Oryza sativa Japonica Group: one gene and its partner. The protein of the gene in region 1 interacts with the protein of each later gene in a pairwise test. Links are inferred from orthologs where the notes say so. Each region holds a gene or a part of one and is shown on either strand. Other genes may lie near its edges.

Region 1 (2,916 bases):
AACCTTGACAGTTCCAAGATTTTTCTTCCAGAGTAGCTTGCGTGGTGTTTTTATCTGATGAAACCTTTTTGCATAATCAGACAGCAACTGATCAACTGAAGCAGGAACTGTGAGGTCTTCTGTCTACATTTGTTTTGAGAGGTTTAGTGAATCTAGACAGATTGTCGTACTAAGGTCAAGTGAAATAAACAGTAAAGATCGAACATCAGTAATTGACCGCATGATTCTTGGTTGAGCAACAAGTTCAACATGATTAGAGATTTCCAATTTACAATAGCTGTGAATCAACATCTCCTTACCATATGAAATATTAGTATGAGAACTGAAGACTATTTTAGTCATAGGTCTCCCCACGCCCCAGCAGAAAATAAGAAAAGGGAAGACATGACAGATGACACTAATTTAGCTCAACAGTTACCATGATGGTTTCGATAAAAGCTTTGTACCATACCTGAATTGGTGGCCAGAAATTGGAGGATATTATAGTTGCGTCAAGAACCTCATGAGACAATTCTGTCTCCTCTTGCACAGTTCCTACTGACAAAAAAGAAGAGAGTTTAAATGCAAACGCTGTAACATTTGATCTGTTTGGTACAAGCACTCGCAGTTTAAGCAGTACCAGTTTGAGATGTCTTTGATAAAGATGTTTTAATATTTGAGTTGGTTCTCTTTGAGTCAATCAAGTCATTAAGCATAATCTCACACTTCTGCATGCTGCTCTCCCCAAAATGAATCTGCCAAAACAACAGCATCATTAAAAAAAATAGAGATAACAACTAAGGAATAGCATCATATGCAATTCAATCAAATACATAGAAAAGGCATAGCTAAGAAGACAATCACAAAAGTAACAGTCCAACCTTAAGCAGTTCCAGCGTGCGGATATCTGAATCAATATCAAAATCAGATTTATTGAGCAGTTTTTCTGCCAGCATTACACGATATTCATTGACTAGCTGGTCCTTTGACCCAATTATACTGACAATAAGTCCAAGAATATCAATTTTCCTTCTATTCCTGCTGCCCTTTAATGGGTCTGCTTCCACAGGATCAGGTTCCCAGCTGTAAAAGTTGGAATCACAATGACAGCAGTTTTATTGATGTACTTATTAAAGGAGCAATTATTTCTTAATAGTTCAAGAAACAGAGAGCAAATATACCTTTCAGCATTTAGCCATGCTTGCTTCTCATCAATGTTCGTATGGTCATCATAATCAACATTTTCCTGGTTTTCAGCATCTCTATTCAATTCTTCCAGAAGATTGTCCCCAGCATTTCCAGTTCCGTTCGCGTTTCCTCCAGATCCATCAGTGAGCATTGTTACTATGCATTTGATAGTGTCCTTTCTACCTCTCAGGTAATCTCTAATTGGTTCACCTACTGCTTCCAAGAAGACACCAGTGGGATCAATTGTACGTAATGCCTTGATAGTGGACACGTACTGGTGTAATATATCATTGGTTGATGCACCAGCCGTCAGCAAGCGATATCTCAATGATGAGATAAATGAGTCAACAAGTTTAGAATGTTGACCCGTGTACTCCAAACACTGTTTTAGGTCTTCAATGGCAGGAGAGCTTCATCAATACCCAAAAATTTCCAGATTAAAAACTGTGCTCCAGTTAAGAACACATACATCATAAAGAATAAAACTAAATTAATGCAACATAAAAGAAATATCATAAGCAAACTCTTCTGTTTGAGATGGCCGTGTGAAGTGTGAACATATTTGGTTAGACCTTAACATGGAAAAGACATGGTGTGGCACATGAAAAGAAATGCAGATGTTTGGTTCAAGAGCAACAAATTATTCACTGGTCACAAAAAGAGATGACGAAAAAAAGCAATAACTAAATAAATTATATCATGCTATATAGACCTCCTTCAGGTAAATGAGGATTGCCAGCAAGACACAGGACACCATAAACATTACCAATAAAACAAGTAATCTGCATACACTTCTACACCTTACAGTGCAAAGAAAATACAGGCATATCAAAGGTTGGAAAAGATATTTGGATATTCAATGCCCAACAGCATCATGTAGTGGACAATGACTAACCTCTCAGGGTAATCAACTATGATTTCAAAAAGTTTGCCAATTCGCAGGTCCTGCAAGGTCTCATAAGCAAAATACTCAAGGCGCATGTGCCATCTCACAAGGGCTTCTGAAGGAACGCCAATCCCAGGGAAGGAAGAAGGGCGTGAGGCCAAAGGTGATTTGAGACCAGATGATCCACTTTCATTGTCAAGAGAGTCCCCCAGATATGTCAATTGAGCATGCAAAAATTTAAGAGGAACGGCCTGGCAAGACCCAGAAATTATTGTCAGCAAATTATGCTGAGCAGCATTTACAGATGGAATTAAGGGCATAGTAGATATCATGTTACACTAAATACAATGGACTTACAGAACTGATTCAAAAGAGGTATTAAGTAATTGAAAGAACAATGAGACAAAAATTAATATTCTTAAGGCGCACTAGCTCATGATAGATGCACTGATGTGACAGCTCTATTACATTAACACTAAGTCTTATTTCAATTCAAATATGTGCGAGGGAAAAAAGGCTAAACCTGCAGAGAATAATTTATCCTTACAAGACCCAACTACTTAAGCGGGTATAATATGAAGCTAGAAACACAGAACAAATTTGACGGACAGGGAGATGTTTCTGAATAAATGACTGAATGAGGATAAGAAAGGTTACCTGAATCCACTTTTTGACACACCCAAGTACAGGAATTCTATAATCATCACCAGCTAGTTCATGAACTTTAGACTGCAATATGAGAATTGAGAGTTCAGATAAGGATACAGGCAGAAATTCAAGATTGTCCATGCCAAAATAATATATGTGGTATACACTAGGTACTTAAGGTAAAGAAGTGAGCCTGGACCTTTAAAAGCCAGATT
Region 2 (3,837 bases), on another chromosome or scaffold:
AGCATACGAGGAATTGTGCATACTAGGTTGGTGCGTTAATACACTATGAGTGAAGTTTTTTAGCACCTCCATTCCTAGTTTTATACATTAGAATTACATGCGTCAAGTGTTGCTTCACCACAAAGATTTATTTCCTAAATGTCTAGTAGTAGGAAATGAAAAGTACAGTGTTGATTTTTCTGAAGAAGAACACGTCATCCAAAATATGTGACTTGCAGTAGACCTTCAATAGGCCTGTTATGTGTTTTGCATCATAGTAGTTTTATTCTGTCATTCATTATTAGCTTGATAGATCAATAAACAGGCATAATATTTTTAGCCATTATGTTCATTACTCCCTCTGTCGATTTTTTGACCAACAAATAGTCCAACAATATGCAGAGGCTGCGATACAGAATTGGTGTCATTAGATTCACTTTTGAAAGTACTTTCTTGTTATCATGATTTTCACATTTAGAGACCTTATAAAAAAAACAGGGATTAGTTCATTGCCATACATGCCCATTGATATGCCTAATGTTGATACATTATTATTTTTGCATACCGTTGCAGTTACACTATGGCCCAGTAGTCCTTATATTGAAGGCCTCATACTCACTAAATATAAAAGCAAGCATATACCATGTGTGTCACTAATTAACTATCTTGTAGGTGTTGCTGAAGATGCAAATGAATGTTTCAGTGAAGCAACAGCTCTACGTCTTCAGCAGGAACTCACATCCACATCAAATGTGGAAAAGTCAAACTTTGTTAATGAAAATCGGTTTCTATCTTCCAATGTGTCAGCAAGTTTTGGTGATAGTCCTAAGCAAATTAAACAGCTGCATGCTAACACCACTGCAGAAGTATCTGGTTATCCTCATGTAAAGTCAACTGCATTGCATATGCAGAACGGTGCACCATCTAATTTATCACAGTTTGACACTCCATCGCCAACTTCAACGCAGGTCAGCAAAACTTGTTTGGTTCTTCACCCAGTAGGATTAACCAGATACAATCAATTCGTACTTTGAGGAATTCTCCAGAATCTGCACATTTGGTTTATCTAGATCCTCTTCTTACCTTTGTTTGCAAGAAAGATTTGGCATATTGTCATTATTGTTTCTCTGAATCACATGCTTTCAGTTGACCTTTTTGCACATGAAGAGTAACAACTTGGTGTTAGACAGCAGCTCTTGAAGTGCAACATACCCTTTGTAGTGCAGTTGTGCACTTTCTTGATGTACTTCTCATTTACTCTGACTAGGTGTAAAAAAATCAAAATCAAACTAATTACATGTTATGAGTAACAAAAATGTAAATAATCTGCCAAATGTTAAATCACAAGGAAAAGGAAAGCGAAAAATCAAATTATACTCACAGCAAAGTTTGTATCTTTTGGTTCACTGTTATATGCTTCATGGTGGATATGATGATGAGCAGTGAAAGAGTGACAGAAGCATATAGCACACTTTAAACAACATCACAATACAGTGTAAAGACATGTGATCTATGGTTGCGCTATCACAATTTTCTATTTAATTAATTTAATTTTTGCAGGCTTCTGGCATTGCTCCACCACCACTCTTTCGGAATATGCATGCTTATCAGAATACAGCAGGTGGCAATGCTCCTTCCAAACCAAAGGTTAATGCTCCGAACCTGACACTCCGAAGAAAATACATCGATGAAGCAGGCCTAAAGAAGGTTGTTGTTTCCTCAACTGAAAGATACTGTCTTGCAACTTCTATAATTTCTACTGATCTCTTGAGCTTCTAGGTTTCTCTCGGTCGACTGTCCTCTTTCAATAATTTAAATTGTTAGATTAAACCTCTCGGAAAATGATACGTGTTTGGAGTAAACCACATACTTGCTGATCCTCTCCAGTTGTGCATACTAGCATTGCTTGTTAATGCATTAGTATTCATTGGCTCATTGCATTTACAGCCTAATACTTCCTGGTTGTATGAGTCTGTAGAGTTTCAGTCATGGCTGTTCTATCAGGATTCAGGATGTTGATCCCTTGCTTCTACCTAACTGCGTCTGCATTGCAAAGTTTGTGATTGCGGTCTTCTTTTTATTTGTTAGTTTGTATTGCCCATTAATTAAGATTCATTGACTATGGATAGTTCTGTTTGACAGTACCAGACTACCCATCAAGTTTGTACCAACACCCAGCCCCAGCGACGAGATAGTTTACCTGATAATAGCTGATTTGTCAATTTTTGATAGTTTACCATTCATTAACTTTGAAGTATATCTCCGATGGTGTTTTTGTAACATTCTAGCTGCTAGATTGTTGCCTCATTTTCATCTTTGCATAGCGCCTTACGTTCTTCACTTTCCATCAGCATTCTTTTGTTCAATAATAGTGGGATATTATCATTGTTTTCATTTTGTTTTCACAGGTTTGTCCATGTAGTACGGACTGTGGAACCAGCAAATATTTTTTGTAGTTTCGTTCTTTTCATCTTTGATTTATTATTGCCTTCGTTAGAGCTCATCTCGTCTAATATTGGACCTATGTTTCTATTGTTCTGTTGCTTTGAGGTCTGGCTGTATAGTCTCTTTTATGTTCTTTCTGTTGATAGTCCTCACACCATGCTCATACCCCACTTTAGATTTGACTTGTGATGATACCAGACTTAAAAGATTATTTTTCTCAGTTAAAAGATTATTTTCTCAGGTTTCTGGAAGGCTGTTTAATCAGAGTAGTGATTCAGTTCCTCGAAGAAGTGCAAGACTTTCTAGAGATACAACAATAAACTCAAACTCAAATATCTCTCAATTTGGAGGGAATGGAACAGATCACTCGTCAGGTAAATTGCGAGTAAACTCGTCCACACCATCAAAATTGTGTTCAACAGCTCTACGTTCCGTGCAAGTTAGGAAAGGGAAACCACAGGCAACAGAAAATTTTGATGAAGGTGATTACCATTTCGACATGGATGACTCATCAAATTATATAAGCCTCAAATTATATAAGCCTCAAATTATATAAGCCTCGCAAAAAATGTGGTTGATATGTTGTTATAGACACTGCAATCAGGATATATCTGCATGTTTGCTTATATGTTCATGTGCAATGGGTTCACATTAGTAAAACTCACTCATCAATATTGTATTGATTGTACTTGAAAAGTACAATAATGACACCAAGCCACAACTCACAAGGCATTTAGGATGCTAAGAAACATCATGCAACTACTCACCGAATTTATTGGCTGTTCATGTTAATCCATATACCTTTTAAATATCTCTATTATTGAGCTGAAATTTTAAGCATCTATAATACCACCAGAACATTATCAGCTATCATTCAACCCTTGAAGTGTCTCCGTTATCATATTGTTTTTAGTTTCTTCTTCATGTAGCATATGAACTGCAGAATTGCTTATCCTTTTCTTTGGCGCCTCATGTTAGATCATTATTCCTAAAATACATAAATATTTACATCCAGATTCATACATTTTTACTGTATCATTGCTTGTTTGAACTTTTCACTCCTATGGATAAGGTTTCCTGATTATTGTGATAAAAAAAAATCGAAAGGAACTTCTTGCACCATGAATCCTGTTTCAAGAGCCCTAACACTTAAGACTTTTAAAATGATCACACATCCTTCTCCTTCACTGGATGCAGGATCATCCAATCCATCAACTTATCCTTTTCGATATCATAATTACGTGGTTTGTGAAATTATAATTATCATAATAATCGCATCAGCTTTCTCTATATGAATGGTGCATTAATATTCACGATGGTTTTATTTCCCCTTCTGAACCATAGGAAACAGGTACCACGTTGTTGATGAAATGTGGACAGATAATGTAACTTCAACTTCGTCTTCTACAAGTA

The links.
Region 2: the proteins of anaphase-promoting complex subunit 2 (region 1) and cell division cycle protein 27 homolog B interact in binary tests that used the Arabidopsis thaliana proteins (3 or more experiments, as listed by UniProt). The link is inferred for Oryza sativa Japonica Group from reciprocal best matches to the Arabidopsis thaliana genes APC2 and HBT.

The regions. Positions count from the first base shown.
Region 1 is NC_089038.1:24,728,933-24,731,848, reverse strand, and holds part of anaphase-promoting complex subunit 2, read right to left. Parts: coding exon 2,901-2,916; intron 2,783-2,900; coding exon 2,711-2,782; intron 2,305-2,710; coding exon 2,063-2,304; intron 1,578-2,062; coding exon 1,161-1,577; intron 1,063-1,160; coding exon 861-1,062; intron 735-860; coding exon 620-734; intron 538-619; coding exon 452-537; intron 124-451; coding exon 4-123; intron 1-3. UniProt on the Arabidopsis thaliana protein: Component of the anaphase promoting complex/cyclosome (APC/C), a cell cycle-regulated E3 ubiquitin-protein ligase complex that controls progression through mitosis and the G1 phase of the cell cycle.
Region 2 is NC_089040.1:25,890,486-25,894,322, reverse strand, and holds part of cell division cycle protein 27 homolog B, read left to right. Parts: coding exon 1-26; intron 27-651; coding exon 652-947; intron 948-1,539; coding exon 1,540-1,686; intron 1,687-2,665; coding exon 2,666-2,906; intron 2,907-3,768; coding exon 3,769-3,837. UniProt on the Arabidopsis thaliana protein: Component of the anaphase promoting complex/cyclosome (APC/C), a cell cycle-regulated E3 ubiquitin-protein ligase complex that controls progression through mitosis and the G1 phase of the cell cycle.